Sus scrofa: one gene and its partners. The protein of the gene in region 1 interacts with the protein of each later gene in a biochemical or structural test. Links are inferred from orthologs where the notes say so. Each region holds a gene or a part of one and is shown in the gene's direction. Other genes may lie near its edges.

Evidence for each region.
Region 2: the proteins of RPS6KA1 (region 1) and ERBIN interact in a test that uses a peptide from one of them, tested with the Homo sapiens proteins (2 studies listed by BioGRID and IntAct). The link is inferred for Sus scrofa from reciprocal best matches to the Homo sapiens genes RPS6KA1 and ERBIN.
Region 3: the proteins of RPS6KA1 (region 1) and MAST1 interact in a test that uses a peptide from one of them, tested with the Homo sapiens proteins (2 studies listed by BioGRID and IntAct, with this or other methods). The link is inferred for Sus scrofa from reciprocal best matches to the Homo sapiens genes RPS6KA1 and MAST1.
Region 4: the proteins of RPS6KA1 (region 1) and PARD3B interact in a test that uses a peptide from one of them, tested with the Homo sapiens proteins (2 studies listed by BioGRID and IntAct, with this or other methods). The link is inferred for Sus scrofa from reciprocal best matches to the Homo sapiens genes RPS6KA1 and PARD3B.

What each region holds. Positions count from the first base shown.
Region 1 is NC_010448.4:83,915,978-83,919,964, forward strand, and holds the start of RPS6KA1 (ribosomal protein S6 kinase alpha-1), read left to right. Parts: upstream 1-1,179; 5' UTR 1,180-1,895; coding exon 1,896-2,276; intron 2,277-3,842; exon of another isoform or gene 3,843-3,987. UniProt on the Homo sapiens protein: Serine/threonine-protein kinase that acts downstream of ERK (MAPK1/ERK2 and MAPK3/ERK1) signaling and mediates mitogenic and stress-induced activation of the transcription factors CREB1, ETV1/ER81 and NR4A1/NUR77, regulates translation through RPS6 and EIF4B phosphorylation, and mediates cellular proliferation, survival, and differentiation by modulating mTOR signaling and repressing pro-apoptotic function of BAD and DAPK1.
Region 2 is NC_010458.4:44,414,600-44,418,794, forward strand, and holds the start of ERBIN (erbin), read left to right. Parts: upstream 1-1,389; 5' UTR 1,390-1,527; intron 1,528-4,195. UniProt on the Homo sapiens protein: Acts as an adapter for the receptor ERBB2, in epithelia. By binding the unphosphorylated 'Tyr-1248' of receptor ERBB2, it may contribute to stabilize this unphosphorylated state.
Region 3 is NC_010444.4:66,181,484-66,185,597, reverse strand, and holds the start of MAST1 (microtubule-associated serine/threonine-protein kinase 1), read left to right. Parts: upstream 1-1,308; 5' UTR 1,309-1,342; coding exon of another isoform or gene 1,343-1,381; intron 1,382-4,114. UniProt on the Homo sapiens protein: Microtubule-associated protein essential for correct brain development. Appears to link the dystrophin/utrophin network with microtubule filaments via the syntrophins. Phosphorylation of DMD or UTRN may modulate their affinities for associated proteins.
Region 4 is NC_010457.5:107,881,119-107,885,262, forward strand, and holds the start of PARD3B (partitioning defective 3 homolog B), read left to right. Parts: upstream 1-1,338; 5' UTR 1,339-1,912; coding exon 1,913-2,032; intron 2,033-4,144. UniProt on the Homo sapiens protein: Putative adapter protein involved in asymmetrical cell division and cell polarization processes. May play a role in the formation of epithelial tight junctions.

The sequences.
Region 1 (3,987 bases):
TTCTTTTTAGGGCTGCACCTGCAGCATATGGAAGGTCCCAGGCTAGGGGATGAATTGGAGCAGGAGCTGCCGGCCTACACCACAGCCACAGCAACAAGGGATCCAAGCTGCATCTGCAACCTACACCATAGCTCACCATAGCACTGGATCCTTAACCCTCTGAACGAGGCCAGGGATAGAACCCTCATCCTTATGGAAACCAGTCGGGTTCGTAACCCTCTGAGCCACAACGGGGACTTCCCTCAAGCCTCTTTTCCATGCTGGTCTCTCTCTCTCCGTGGAGTGTATTTCCTCCTCTCTGCTTGGCCCACTCCTGTTCACCTTCAGGGCCCAGCCGGACGACCCTGCCTTCTTGGGCCTCCCGTTGGGCGGATAGGTACAGTCTCTGCACACCTCCAGCACCTCGACTGTAGCTCTGTCACAGGACAGTTGGGTTTTGTCATTGTGTATTTATTTTGGAGAGTCCAATCTGCCTTAACATGTGTGCCTCCTAGTGTTTGGCTCCCCTGGGGACAGAGCAAGGGACCAATAGCTGTGAGTGATGCCCAGCAGGGAGCCAGGCTGGCAGGCCTTGTTGGGGGTGGGGGGGAGCGGTGTGGATAGGGAAATGCTTAGTGTAGGCTTTGGAAGCAAACAGATTGATCTTGCTCTGAGCTCTCTGCCTTTCTAGCCATGTGGCCTTGAGCAAATCACTTTCTCTCTGAATTTAGTTTCCCCATCTCTGAAATGGGATGAGAGTATTTCCCTTGGAGCTAGTACACAGGGCCTGGCAGAATCCACACCAGCAAAAGGAAGGAATGGCTTCATGCAATGAATGCTCAGTTAACAGGCACACTTCTCATTATCACTCCATGCTAATCGCTCCTCCATCAAAGATGCCTGGGAACTAAGGACCCCTCACCCACCCAGAAGCATGATGGGTGATGCATCTGGGGACACCTGTCCCACGGGAGGGGGCATCTCGGGGAGGGGCTGTTGGTGTCCGTTAGGGCCAGAGATTAGCAGGTGGGCTTGGGCTGCAGCTGCTGGAGGGAGGCCCGGGGTGGGGACCCTAGGGGCCAGGGATCAGGCTGAGGGGCTCTGGGCTTCTGTCCAGCTGCCTTGTGGGCGGAAGTAAATAAGAGGAAGTGTCTGTAGGGGGAGTGGGGCAGGGACCAAGGGGGTGCGGCCTGGTGCTGTCCTCCCTACTCCTGCCACCAGAGGCCTCACAGGCCCTGCACATACCCTTTGGCAAAGGCAGGTCCAAGGGGGCTTCCTTCCTGTTGCCCCTTGCTGTTCCCTGCTAGCCCTGGAGAGTCTTCCTTTGCTTCTAAGGGGGGCAGGGGGGCTGCTGGGAATTTTAGGGGTGCCAGCACCACCCCAGCCTCCAGACAAAGCTGGAGTATGAGAGGCCTCGGTCTCAGGAAGCCTCTTTCACAACACCCAGCAGGCCATCGTCAGACAGTTAGTGGAGGCCCTGTGAGGCTGGAAGGGGAAGTTCGCTGTGCGTGGGGGTGTGTTTCCACATAGGGGACGTCTGTGGAAATGGTTTCCGATCATCGGACTGTGGGTATCTGTGTGTGTGTCAGTTCCTGTGGTACTGGTGTGACTGATGTGGGGAGGCCATGTGGCAAAGGCCTGGGCCTGGTCACCCCCTGCCCCACGGCTACCTGCTCTTCCTCCTCAGGCCTCTGTGACGTCTGTGCGGGGGCCTCTGCCCCCTCGCCTGTCCCGGGGCCCTGGGCTGGCAGGCTGCTTTGGGCAGGGCTGGGTGTGGTGGGGCCTGCCCGGCAGGCTGCCGTTGGGGTGGGCCCAGCCGTGGGAGGGTCACTACAGGAGGAGGAGTGCCCGTGCTCTGAGCAGGGACAGTCAGAGATGGTGGCCTTGTTGACTTCTGCCCCCCATCTCTCCAGAGGATGTTTGTGGGGGTGGGGCGCCACTCGGTCACCACCCCGTTGCCTTGGGACATCAGAATATGTTCCAGTCCCCCTGCCTTAGGATCAGGGGAGACGAGGGATGGGGTGTCTCTCTGGGCCCCCACCCCTGGGAGTCACGGTCTTGGGGTCCGCAGTGTCCCCTCCACAGCAGGGCAGCTTAACCCATCTTCTGTCCCTCCTCCCCGCAGAGGGGGAAGTGAGAGGGAAGGGGTCAGGGACCCTGCCTTCTGGGCCAGGAAAGCTGAAAAAGCAGAAGTGAGGGGAGTAGCTGGGCCCTCTGCCACCGGCCTGGGCCCCACCATGCAGACCCCGGCAGATTTCCCCTGGGGTGAGAGAGACTCACTCCCCTATCCCAGAAAGGTGAGCGGAGGGTTGGCCTGCCTCCAGTCGTGTCTGTCACCATGACTCTGGGCAGGGAATGGGCTTGGGGGTGGCTCTGTCCCCTGGGGGTTCCGGGTGACTGCCTCTGTCCCCAGGGAGTGTTCTCAGTCAGAGGCAGACAGACAGGTGGAAGCTCAGCCCTCAGGGCGGGGTGGGCAGGGGTTGCTGTGCGGCTTTGCCCCCCACCCCCAGCCCCTCTCTGAGCCAAGCTTTCCGCCTGTCCCACCCACTGGGTTACACTCCGGGGCCTATTGAGCCTGCAGCTTTCTGTGCCTGCAGCTTTTGTGACCGGTCAGGTCCCCTGATGATGGGACTGTGTCTCCGAGGGTCAAGATCTCGAATGGGAAGTCCCCAGACTCCCTGGTTGAGGGAGGGGGCGGGCTAGGAAGGGCAGGTCGTGGCTCTGGCTGACTTACCTGCCCACCCTTTCCTGGCACTTGAGGCCTGTTGACCGCAGGCCAAGTGGTAACCAGGGGAAGAACTTGGGTTCGAGCCGTCTCTGCCACCCGTTCACTTTGGGCATGGGTGAGTCACTGCCTTGTGAGCCTCAGTTTCCTGTTCCTGAAATGGGGGATGACAACGCTGGGATATTTGGATGGAGTCAAAGCCATCAGATTGCACGCAGGAGATGTTCCCCCTCAGTCCAGCAACTTAGGCCTGGGCCCCCCTCAGACCCTGGCATGGGAAGGAAACCCCAAAGAAATGGAATTAAGCAGGGATGGGTCTGCCACAAGTACCAGACTGCTCTCCCAAGGGCTGGGGCCTGGCGGGTGATGTCCCCTCCTGCCCCAGACAGACCAGCAAGAACCCGGAGCTCCGCCCTTAAGGCCAGAGTCTGACTGGGAATCTGTGTGTCTTTCCTGCCTGTGTGTCTGCCCTGGTTATCTGTCCGTCCCTTGGGCCTTGCTGATGCCAGCTGCCTCTGTCTGCTGCTCACCTGCCTCTATTGGCTTCCTGGCTCTGTGTCCACTTCACGAGTGCCTGTCTTCACCTGTTGGGTACATGTCACGTGCTGGGTGCCTGTTGGGTCGTGTCCCCTTCTGTCTTGGCCTGTCGAGTCCATGTCCCCATCTGTCTCCACCTGTTGGATACAAGCCCCCATCTGCCTCTGCCTGTTGGATCCCCATCTGTCTCTGCCTGTTGGGTACACGTCCGCATCTATCTTTGCGTGTTAGGTCTGTGTCCCCGTCTGCCTTTGCGTGTTGGGTACAGGTCTGTCCACTTCTGCCTGTTGGGTGTGAGTCCCTTCCTGCCTCCGCTTATTGGGAACATGTCCCCATCTGTCTCTGCCCATTGAATGTGTGTTCTTCTGCCTCTGTCCTTTGGCTTCTCCCCATCCCTGTCTGATGGGCACGTGTACTCTCCCACCTGTCTGCCTTCAACTGCCTTCACTCGGTGGGTGCCTGCCCCTGCCAGTTGGGTACCTATCAACTCAGCAGCTGGGTTGGCATGGGGCTTTCCCTCTGCAGGCCCACAGGGAGGATGGCAGGGGGAGGGCCAGAGGGCAGCCCTCAGGCAATGGGGAGGTGGGGGGGGAGAGAGGAAGGGAACGTGGTAAGAGAGCTAGGAAACCACAGGCCCTGAGTGATTGGCGGCCCTGGGCTGGGCCCAGCCCCCGCCTTCACCCTGCACATCCGCCTTGGGCCTGACCACCTCCGCAGCAGCCCCGGACGCTGCCTGCTCCTGCCAT
Region 2 (4,195 bases), on another chromosome or scaffold:
CACAGCTCACGGCAACGCCGGATCGTTAACCCACTGAGCAAGGCAGGGACCGAACCCGCAACCTCATGGTTCCTAGTCGGATTCGTTAACCACTGCGCCACGACGGAAACTCCAAGGACTCTCTTCTTCCAGGCTGGGCGCAGGGCAGCCGGGATCGACTTCGCCCGCATCCCCACCTTGGGCGGCTGGGGAGCAGCACGCAGGCCTCCCGGGCCTGGGCCAGAGCTGGCCTCACGCCGGACCTAGCTCGCGAACCCCCGGCCGCCGGCCCCGCCTCCCGGGCCCCCAAGACTATCACCCCCCGCTGCCGCCGCCGCCCCCCGCCGCCACCGACGTCGGCCCGCACCGCCCCCGCGCGCGGTGACTGGCTCGCGCCGGCCTCCAGCCCGGCTGTTGGAGGTTGGGGCGAAGCGGGCGGGAGGCCGCCCCGCCCCCGCCGCGGAGCCGCCGCCGCGCGCAGCCTCTTCCCCCCTCGCCGCCGGGGCGGTGGCGCTGTTGCCTCCGCGGCCTGTGAGGCAGTAACTCCCCTCCGCCCCAGCCCCCTTCCTCCTCCTTTCTCTCCGCTCCCTCCCTCCCCTCCCCTCCCCTCCCCTCCCCGCCCCTCGCAGTCTCTCGCTCGAGTGAATGTGGCGCGGCGGCGCGGGACGCAGTCTCGGCCCCTGCCGCGGCCCCGCGAGCTTGTGAGGAGACGAAGCCGCCGCCTGCCCCCACCCCCTGCGCTTCCCGGGGGAGCCACCGCCGCCAGGGAAGAAGAACGAGGAGGGGAGCGAGGGGACGGTGGCGGGAAAACAGGAGGGGGAGGAGAAGAGGGCTCGAGGGCAGGGAAGGAAGGCGGGGAGGGACGTACGGAAGGACGGACAGCCCGACGGCCGGCCGGGGGAGGGGGCCGCCATCGAGCCTGCCCGGCCCCTCGGCTCGGGCTCCGGGCGGCCGCGGCTGCGGCCGCGCGGGCGAAGGGCGCGGCAGGCGCTACCGAGACAATAACCCCGCCGCCCGGCTCCGGGGGTGGCGGCGAGGAGGCGGCGGCGGCCTAGCGCGGCAGAGGCTCTCCCAGCGCCCCGGTGGCATCTTTGCCCCCGCGGGCCAGGTTCGCCTGCCGTCGGATATCGGGGCGCGCGGGTCGCCCGGAGTCCCAGGCTCTCGGCTGACGCCCCCTGCCCTCCCCCGCCCGACGCGCGTGGAGCTGGTTTTCCGGGTTCCCCTGGACCGAGCTGGATCCTGCTGCTCGCCAAGGCAGGAAGTGAGTTTCGCACGGTAATTCCGGGCGGTGTCACGAGTGAAAAGTTTTTTTTTCGACGGAGATCCTAGTTGGGGCTGGGAAACTCCTGCAAAACTCGAGACCAGGAAGCCAGCCCGCTTCCCAACCCCCACCGGAGCCACCTACTCTTCCTACTGCGGGAGGCCACTCCACATCCGCTCTCACCGGAGAGAGAAATTCGGCTGGATCCGAAGTGACTAATGAAGGGGAGGAAATCATGTCAGGCGAAGCCTTGAAAAAGCTGTCCTGAGACACTGCCCGACCGAAAGGTAATTTTCACCCAAAGTGTCTGCGAGTCACAAAGCTCCCCGGCCAGGAAAGAGAGGAAACTTTAGTGTTTTCCACTTTTTCTCAAGTTGCCCTAAATTCTCCCTCTCTCCTGTCGGACGGGGTAGTGATTTAGGTGCAAAGCAGTAGAACTGATTTTATTCTCCTTTCTACCATCTGGACCCTGGTCATTTTAGAAGAGGTTGTAAGAATGCGGTGGGACGAAAAGTTTTAAGCAATTCCGAGGAAAGAATGCCTTTGTTCAGCAGAAGGTCCAGAAATCTTAGTTTCCCGGAACATATACAATGTATGTTTTTGATTTATTAAGTTGCTGAACCTGACAACTTTTGTTTTGGATGAAAGTTAGGTCACTGCGGCGAGCAATCGGCTGCTGTTGAGATGGCTGCCACAGTATTTGTTTATACTGTTACCGATTATTTTGCTTTTGCATTTAAATGTATATGGAGTTATTTAGTTCCAACTCTTATGACTGTGTTTCATTGGGTTTTATAAACAAAAAACTCTTTGCCGTTCTTAGTCGTTTTTTCAGGTGGGTAATATATATGTCTTCAGTAACTTGTTCTTTTCGGACATTTATAACTTTATAATACTTGTTTGGTGTTGTCTACAAGCTACTGTCTACAAGATTTTTCTTGTAACTGACCTAGTAGGGAGAAAAAGTGTTACGGCTAAAGAGTGATGATTAAAAAGCAAACATGAATGCCTGTAAGTGGTTTGATTTGTTAGGACTTCTGTGCAATTCGGAACTGAATGTATAGGAAAGGAAGTAAAACGCTTAAAACAGTGTTCATGGGCATCACAGTGATTGTGATAAATAGCTGTGCTTTTTGGTTAGCACATTATTTACATTTTTTTGTTGTTGTTGGCCCAAATGTTTTGACCGGGTCTGCCACCTAATAAGTGATGAGTATCTGCTGTGGGGGCAGGGATTAAGTGAAGCACGGTGACATTCCACCAGTCAGTTATAAATATAAACACTTCTGAACCAGTCGGTAGTCTTTATAGATCAAACTAGTTTTGGTTGCTGCAGACACAGACGGTTTCTTCTGTGGTGTTTTTAATGAGTGTCTTTTTAAGTTTGGTTCCCCCCCCCCCGTGCTTTTTTGGTAAAGGGAGGTAAAAGATAAACTCTGCTCTTGAATAAATGTCAAATAAACGTGGTATTTTGTTTGTAGATATATCTTAAATGTAAATTAATATTTATTTGCCCTTGCCACCACAAGAAAAATGGTTGGCTTTCTTTAGTTCCAAAAAGAGACAAGGTAGGTTTTAAACAGTAGGTTCAAATAATTTCACAACTTTTTCTTTGTTACTTCAAATTAAGTATGTTTCAAAAAGGGGGTCTTTTAACTATTACTATATATTGTTTTGATTTTTTTTTTTCTTGGAGCTTAGTCTCTGGAGCTCCTTTTTAAAAACAATTTTGTAGTTTTTTAAATTGTTGGTAAGATTTTGTGAACCATCAAGTAATTCCTATTAAGTGAAAGTAGCTTTATCAAATAATTTAAAGTATGTAAGTGATCTACTTTATGATTTTAGAACTTAAAATTAGGCAACGAAAGAGGTTATTCTTGGGCATCTGAAAGAGGGGAACAAAATAAATGGCATTGAACTTCGGTTTCCTTATATGGTTTATACTTGGCTTCAGAGCAACAAAGCCTTAATAGAGCAAGTCTTTTATAGAGAATTATCACTTTGCGAAAGTGTTCCTTTCTCTGTGTTAGGAAATTTTACTTGAAAGAAGTATTATAGTCCTCAAAAATACCTATTTAAATGCCTGTTGTTAGATATAGCTCTTGATTTTTTTTCTTGAGGGAGCATAGTATGTATAGATGCAGACAACATGTTTTAAAAGATGTTCACCTTTGTAGTTGTCTTTGATTCCTTTTTCCCCTCAACAAGGCAAAATTTACTTTGAGGTTTATTTATTTTATTAGTTTAGCACTGGATTAACTTAATGAATTTTAGGTTTTATACTGTTGTCAAACTGTAAATATTTTTCAAAGTTTTGTTTAAAATTTGACAGTGGTTTGAAAATAAGTTTAAAAAATGGTCATAAAAATATTTTAAAATGGCTTCAAATTTTGGATATTTTTCTTAGTATTCTGTGGGTTTTTTAGATTAAATTCACAAATCTGGAGTACTTCCAAGGTGTTTGTAGAAAATGCGCACTTGATGGCCCTGTTTGTTAAAGGTACTGGGAGTTTTCAAAAGTGATAAACTTAATCTTTCAACTAATTAATTCAGATATTATGAAGTTTCCCTACTGTTTGTGAACAAATTATTGCCAACTTTTCATGTATAAAAAGCTTACAGAGGTTCCAATATGGGAACCAATTTTTTATTGCTTGTTTTTTCTTCATGAAGCAATAACTACAGTTAGAGACATTTGATGTGTATCATTGGTAAATGTCTAAAACTCAGGTATTTTAGAGATTTTGGTAGTGAGCTCATGGCAGTAAACAGTACCTCACTTTAAGAGACAAGAATTTCAGAAAATTAAGTGCATATTTATGCATTTATTTTAAATTATTGCCTGTAGATAAATATGGTAGTGATTATGAAGTATTTGGGATTCTGTAGGTTTTAGTGATGTTAGATAGGAAAGTATTTTTTTTTTTTTTTTTTTGTAATTTCTAGTTGTCTAGA
Region 3 (4,114 bases), on another chromosome or scaffold:
TAAGGGCCTAGACTTTTGGGAAGCCCCCCCCCCGCCATGCCCTCCAATGCCTAGATTGGAGTGGGGAGGGCTCCGACGGTTTCCACTCCAATTCTGGGAAGCACGGTTGGCTTGGCCTCAGCTGTAGGAACACTGAGGGCAAGTGGTGGAAACTCTTCGGATGCCCCCCTCCCCAACTACCAGCTAATCGTTCCTATAAATACAGCTCAGCCTTGCCTGGCATCTTAATCCTGACAATGAGGGAGGGGATCGCTACGGGAGCGGCAGGACTCCCCGAGGAGGCTCTGCTTGCGAAGCGGGGTGGTATATGTTTTTCTTAGGGGGCATCTCCGGTGACGACCGGTCTCCTCATATAAATGTCATGGTAGGGAGTTCCTGTTGTGGCTCAGCGGGTTACAAACCCGACTAATATCCATGAAGACGCGGGTTCGATCCCTGGTCTCGCTCAGTGGTTTAAGACTCTGGCGTTGCCATGAGCTGCGGTTTAGGTCACAGATGCGGCTCAGATCTGGTGTTGATGTAGTTGTGGTATAGGCTGGCAGCTGCATCTCCGATTCTACCCTAGTCTGCGACCTTCCATATGTCACAGGTGCGGCCCTAAAAAAAAAAAAAAAAAAAAAGTCACTGTAAATGTATCTTCTTGGGATGTGGGGTCTCACGGGTGGGGACAATTTCCCATAGAGGAGATGGCTTTTACAGGGTCTTTTATTGTCATCGGGCGTACTCTCAACAGGCTCCCCAAGCGAAATACCACCTATGGGGATCTTTCTCTGCGGAAATGTCTTCTTTGGAGCATGGGCTGTTGAGAGGAAGCATCATTTCTTACAGACCACTTGTTTTAGAAATGATTTTCAGGGTGAGAGGAGAGTTCCTGACTGGCGAGGGCCTCTCTCTGGAGATGATTTCCCCACTGGATGTGTTTCCCTGAAGGGGGTCACGGGAGAGGGGGGTTCTGCATAGGGAATATATCTAGTGAGAATGTCTCCCTTGGCGTTTTCTTGGGTTAGTTTACCCATAAGCATCACTCTCTCCTGGCGTGTCTACCCTTACACGGGTCTCCTGGTAGCTTGGCTTCTCTGGGGGCATCTGTAAGGCTCCTCCTCCAGTCTGCCCCCTCCTCCTCAGCGCGGGTAGCCTGGGCCAAGGCCCGGCTCGGGCGCCCAGACGCAGTGACGGCGCCGGGTCCGCCCCACTTCGCTCCGCCCCCGCCACCTCCTCCCCGCCCCCCAGCCGCGGACGAGGTCCCCGCGACTTCTCACTCCCTCCCGCCTCCCTCCTCCCGCCGCCGCCGCTGCCGCCGCCTCCCACCTCCCTCCCCGGGGCCGGAGCCGCCGCCGCCGCCATGGACGATTCGGGCCTGATTCGTCGCCGGAGGCTGCAGGTACGCGGCGGCGCCGGCCCTGGGTGGAAGGGATGGGGTCGGCGTCCTGGGGCGGGGCCCGCAGGAGGCGGGAGAACTTAAGCCAGTGTCGGCCCAGGCGCCCACTCCCACGGCCTCTGGACGCAACCTGGGGGAACGCGGTGGCTGCGCGTCCAGCCGCGCTAGGACCCCGCCCCTCAGGCGCCGCCCGGAGAACCAGGGATCTGATGGAGGGGATGCAGCCTAGCGTTCCCCTTCGAGTATAGCTCGAGGGGAGCCTGGCCCGTCAGAGGTGGAGGGGACTTGGGTCGAGGTCTTTGCCCAGGAGCCCTGCCAGGCCGGAGGTAAGGGGGAGCAGAGCAAAGTTATTGCCCCAGGGCTCGCGCCCCTCGGGGCTGCCGGCGCCGCAGCAGCGGTAAACATGTTTGTGCCGCAGCCTGGCCCCTTCACCAGCCCAGGAATCTCTTTCTGAGGCATGGGGACCTCTGCGACCTCCATGCACCTACTCAGCTACCAGGATTCTTCCTACTGCCCTAATTGGACAGGCACCTAGGCAGCCTCCCTCCACACTCTTCATTCCACCCCCCTCCACTACAACACTGTCCCTCTCCGCCCCCACTCTGCGATCCTCAAGTCCAGCCCAGCTTGTGGGTGGGCGGGAGCGATTTTTAGCTTCTTACAGCCTTAGAAAATGTTGGTCTCCAGGCTGCGCAGGCGCGGGAGGCATGGGTCCACTGTTCAGAGTGGGACACTGAGGTTTGTTGTGGAGCATGGGGAAGGTGAGGACAAATCCAGGTGTCAGGAACTCTTATTTCCTGGATGGGTGGAGATTCTGAAACTGGGAAGGGTTCTCTTTGGTTTGCATCATGCACTTCTAAGAGTTAATTCAGGGAATCGGTGTTGCCCCCAGACTGACCCCAGAGAGGAAAAATTGATCAAAACTTCATCCTATCTGGCATCTAGTTCTTCTGAGCCTCCTTGAAGCCCAGTCCCAAGCTAGGTAATCTGGAGGAGTTTGTATAAAGCCTACAGTGGGAAGTTCCCATTGTGGCTCAGTGGAAACGAATCTAATATCCATGAGGAGGTGGGTTTGATCCCTGGCCTCTCTCAGTGGGTTAAGGATCCGGCGGTGCTGTGAGTTGTGAGTGTAGGTTGTAGATCCAGTTCGGATCTGATATTGCTGTGCTATGGCTGTGGCATAGGCCAGCGACTACAGCTGTGATTCTACCCCTAGCCTGGGAACGTCTATATGCCGCGGGACAGCCCCAAAAAGACAAAGAAAGAAAGAAAGAAAGAAAGAAAGAAAGAAAGAAAGAAAGAAAGAAAGAAAGAAAGAAAGAAAGAAAGAAAGAAAGAAAGAAAGAAAGGAAGGAAGGAAGCCTACAGTGGGCCCAGTCTCAGGATACATCCCTAGCCTGGAGCTTGGGAAGAGAAGGAGAGGATTCAAACCCTCACCAAAAATGGACGAGGCCATTTGAGACTGTAGGAAGGACTTCCCAGGCGTCTAGATGATGCTGGAGCCAGACCTGAGTTTTAACCAGAGTCCAGATGGGCTCTTCATGTCTTCCTCGTACTGCCTCCCCATTCTGGGGCTGAGTTAGGAGAATGGGTTCTGATAAAAGGGAGCTGCCACAAACCCAAAGCAAATCTGAAGCAGACAGATTGGGTCCGCGCCTTCGGGTCCCAGAAAAGGGCGGAAAGGGGCGGAGCCTACATGGGGTGTGTCGCCGACCCCTCCTCCCCACCCCGCGCCGACTCCCATTGGCTCAGTGCCACGCGGGACTTCGTTCTCCCGCGCAAGACCCCGCCCCCAGCCCGGGATCCTCCCACTCACCCCTAAGTCCTTCCCCAGGCTTCCAGGCAGAGCTATCCCGCCAAAGTCCTGCCCAAACCTCTTCCTCTGGTAGGGTTAACCACTTCGCTGCCTGGATACACTCGCACACCTTGTGCAACCCCGTAGGAGCTGTCCCACAACTGCGGAGCGCCCGAGGATTCCCTCTGTGCGGGTGGGATAGTACACCAACCTAATTTCGAAAGTCTCATCTGCAGAGCCATCCATTCATCCGGGGATTTGTAGAATGCGCCTGGCACAGTGGCTCTGCAGCTCGGGGTGGAGGTGGCGGCTGTTTACACTCAAGTCAAGGATCTAAATCTTCGACCCTAGAATGTTTAGGGACACTAGGAAATGGGGCTAGATTCGAGGACTTTTCTAGGTGGGATTTAAAGTTTTCTCTGGGGTTCACCTTCGTAGGCCAGTGTACCCCAGTCTGGAGTACAGTGTTCTGTGGCCGAAAAATCCAGGTCTTAGTTTTGATTGGGTCACTGCAGTCGCTTGGCCAGGCTGGCCTGGTCCAAGTGGCGGCTCATTCAAGCTGGTTCTGCAAAGACAGATGGAAAACCCGGTATGGATTTCCGGTCACCCCTGGCTCACCCAGTATGGATTTACGGTCACCCCCGGCTCGGGATGGTAGGACTGCCAATCTGGACAGTGTGCCCTTTGACCTCGACCATCCGTCTGTCCTCTGTACATGGGAATGTGAGGTCCCTCTGGCATATTTCCTGTCATGCAGCATGTCCATCCACAATAACTCCTGTTCCTATGACCTAATATTTATTGAGCGCATACTATGTGCTAGGTATATAGTAAGGTGCTAGAGACCTGCATCATCTCTCAGGATCCTCTAGAAGGCATGGACTATTGGAAGGTCATTTTCCAAGGTTATAAGTGGCAAAGCTGGGAATTGAACCTGTGGA
Region 4 (4,144 bases), on another chromosome or scaffold:
TCTTTGCCCCCTTTGGGGAGAGCCTGAGAATGGTGGCAACAGAGGGACACAGAGCCAAGAGATGGAAAGAAATAGCCTCTAAGGACATTGTTTGGGTTTCTGGATTCAATCTGCCTTAAAGGAACACTCTTTGGCTCTTCTGATTTTATAAGAAAATAGATCCTGTCTTCAGTTTATTTAAGTTAGTTTGCATTGGATTAGTGACCAGAATAATACTAATATATGTCTTCCTCAAATCAACTTAGTCTGCATGATCCTCTTTGATGCCATTGACCTGATAAAAGGCCCTGTACATACCATATTATATATATATATGACATGTATGAATTAACAAATATAACCTCTCAAAACCCATGAGTTTGTTAATTTAATCTCCTGTGCTTTGTTTTACTGTCATAGGCACGTCAAGTTCAATTTAAGTGCATCTTGACATAGGAAATTTTTTTTTTTTTTTTTAATTTAGAGAAATGCATGATGTAGCCTAGAGGAACTTGTAAGAAAACGGTGTGGGAGAGGTTTGGAAGAATGAAGTTCCTCTTAGCATAACTAATTCCATGGTCAGTTCATTCCCTTAACTTCCCTGGGTACTGTTCTTTCACGATAATATGAGAAATGTAATTCCTACTTTACAAACTTGTTATTAGGCTCAAAGAAGCTCACTGATGTGTGAGCTAAGAATGGTACAAATGCTATTTTTGACACCCCCCCCAAGATATGCCAATTTCATTTGATGATGGATACACACCTGCCGAAATCATGAACCTAAACGTGTTAATTTTTTTTTCTAGTTAAACAAACAACAGGAAGCACATTTCAGAAGGATATATGTGAACACATGCAGTCATATCTGGGTCTGAATGTAACCTTTGGGGGAATACTGAGCGTTCTCATCCTTAACGGTTCCAATCCCACGTTGTCTCCAAGAATCCCTTCAGTTTTTCTGTCTCAGGGCTTCAGAGAGCAGGCGAGAAGCTGTCCTTAGGACCAAGTTCCTAATAGGCCCTTGGGGCCAACCCTGCAGTTCAGTACCTGTGAGCCTTCAGCCTTGGGGAGTATTTGTGGGCGTGGCGAGAAGCACCTGCTCCCCGGCTCTTCTCGAATCTTGCTCCAATCCCCTCGTTTTAAGGGTGTAGCTCTGCAGCTCCCAGCTATTCCCTCGAGTGTACTTTATGAGATCCGGTTTCAATCCCCCGGTGGGGAGTTCTGAGGTCCCGTTACAATTCCCTAGAACTCCATGTGTGAGCGGGAGGGACAGAGCCAGGGAGAGACTGAGGGAGGGGACGAGTCTCCGGGCTCCAGTTACCGCCCCGCACGGCCCCCGCCCCGCGCCACTGAGTGCACGGCAGGGCCGGGGAGCGCCGCGGCCCCTTTAAGAGCCGGGCCCAGGCCGGCCCCAGGGCCGCAGGAGCCTAGAGCGCCGCGCGCCGCGGAGGAGTTGGGATCCGGCGCAAAACTTTCCTCCCAACTCCGGCCCCGCGCGCCGCCGCCGCCGCCCACTCTAGCCCGGGGCCTGGGGCCGGCCGCCCGGCTGCCGCCGCTGCCGCCACCAGGGCCAGGGCGAGGGCCAGGCTGGGCCGGCAGTTTCGCTTTGGCGGGCGCTGAGCAGCTGCCTGGGCCGGGCCGGAGCAAGAGCAAGAGGGGCATCCCGGTCCCGGGACCGCCGGGTCCCCGAGCCCCCGCCACCTGGGAGGTAGCCCTTCCCGCTGCTGCCTTCTCCCTGATTCCCGCCCGCCGGCGGCCGCCAGTCCGCGGCGAAAGGGCGCTGCTCTGAGTTCCCGGCCCTTAGGGGCGCTGGGGAGAGGCGCCCGGGTCTCCGTGCCCGCCCTCGCAGGGCGCCCCCGGAAAGTGAGGGCTGTGTCCGCCGGCCTAGACACCTGTTCGGCCGGCCCGGCGTGGTCGCCTGCAGACCAGGATGAAAGTGACCGTGTGCTTCGGTAAGACCGGCATCGTGGTGCCCTGCAAGGAGGGCCAGCTGCACGTCCGGGAGCTCACGCAGCAGGCGCTGCAGCGATACCTGAAGACCCGGGAGAAGGTGGGCGCGGCGCTGGGGGCGCGCGGGCGGGGCGGAGGAGGGGCGCGGCCACGGGCGGGTCACCTGGGAGCGCTCCGCGGCCCTGGCACCTGCCAGGTGCCCCAGGACAGGGTGGGAAGCCCTGGGGACGCAGAGCGCCCGGGTGCTTGATTTGTCGAGACCTGTGGCCTCAACTTTTGTATGTTGCTAATATGAGTGACCTGAGTATCTATGGGCGACTGTGGGCCTTGCTTCTCCGTGGATGGTGGGAAGAACCGCAGCATCAGAATCACTGGAGGGTTCGTTAGAAATGCACCCTCTGGTGCCCTAGTCCAAACTCATGGCCTCAGAATCTGCTTTTCAACAAGCTTCCAGGTGATTGGAATGGCCCCTGGAATTTGTGAAGCATTGACTGCTTTAGAAGTTGTTTGAGTGAACAGATCTCTAGGGAAAGGTTGAAGGTGCTGCTCACCTCAGGCGTGATTTTTGACCTGCCCAGAGGCCTGCTCCGCTTCTACTCCTTGGGCTAGAAAGTTGATTGGTTCAAGTAACAGACACTCAGAAGTTGTAACTGATTGGGCCCTTGGAATTTCAGCCTCCTGGGCTGCCCTCCCATAATGATTATGCAGGATGTCAGATGGAAGGATGCTGTTTGCTTTACACCAACCGGTCTACACTTTGCTGGTTTTACTTTAACATCACACATTCTGTGGACATGTGTAGACTGTGTCAGGTCTGGAGTGACTTTTGAAATGAGGACCAAGACTATTCCCCAGCTCTGTTCCTGAAGTCAGGAACAAAAGAAAATTAAGTGAAGCTCTGGAAGAGTGTTTAATCTGCAGTGCATGTTCAGAAGACCTAGCTGGACTCTGGAACACAGGTGTTTGGCTAACAGGCTGGGCCTCTCCGTCTTCTTCGATGGCACCTTTAACTGGAGGCATTCAAGAGCATCTTTCCATTTTCTGAATCCTTAGTTGGGACATCTTGTTTGCCCCAAATCCTCCTCAAACAGGACAAGTCATAAACTCTTGCCTTAGAGGCCATTTGTTCTCTTAATGTTTGTTCTCGTGCTGTGGGAACTGCAGAATTAATGCGTTGGGCAATTTAATGATAGGAAGAGGTAATTTCTTTTAATGTCTTCTAGGTTACCCAAGGCATAAAAGCAATTTTGTTTCTTCTAAATATGCAGTTGAGGCATCCAAGAAAATCTTTGCACTTTCTGTGCCTCCACTAAGAGTTATTATACAGGAAAAAATTGTCTGGATGAATACATGTGTGAGCTGCTCTGAACAGTCAAGAGTTGGAGAAGAGCATAATGAATGGCCTGTTAATATATTAAATATCATCTCCAAAGCTGGATGGTTTACTAATGGAATTGAGGCAAAAAGTGAAAAAATATCAAAGTGGCTAATAAAACTGAGTATCCATTCAAAAGTTTTTTTTTCCATTGTTACAGTAGCATGTGCTGTTTATATTGTATAATTCAGTTAAAAACTGAGAATTACACAACTAGTTTCAAGTTGTCTTTGAAATCATATTTCCCTAACTTCTGAAAGTAAGCTAAGGTTAAAAGTAGCAGCATTATTCTAGACAAATTATTAAAATAGATCTCATTGAAGGGTTATTTTACTGAGATGATAAACTTATTTTTTAATCATTATTAAAAAAATTTATTTCTAAAACCTTCTGTATTTAGAAGTTTAGTACCTGGAGCTGTCCAAGTAATAGAAGTCAGCTATATAAGTTTGTAAATAACATATGGGGAACTAACTCTATCATATTTAATGCATTGTAATTTGATTTTAAAAGATGTTAAAAAGCTATTGATATTCTGGACTGAAAGCATAATTTATAATATCACAGATTCCCATAATGTAATGGTATTGATCAGTTTACTATTATTACCAGACATAACATTTTTCTGTGTTTACATTTATATATTAGTGAATATGACATTTAAAGGTCTCCTGTAACTTATAAATCCTCCCTCTCTTCTTCGGCTTTTAAAAATCTCAATTTAATAAGTGGCAAGTGATATTTTTCCCTCCCAAAATATTCCTCTCTCATAGTTTCATTTTAAATAGCATTGTAATCAAAACAAGGCTTAACTAATATTAAATGGTATTCCTAATG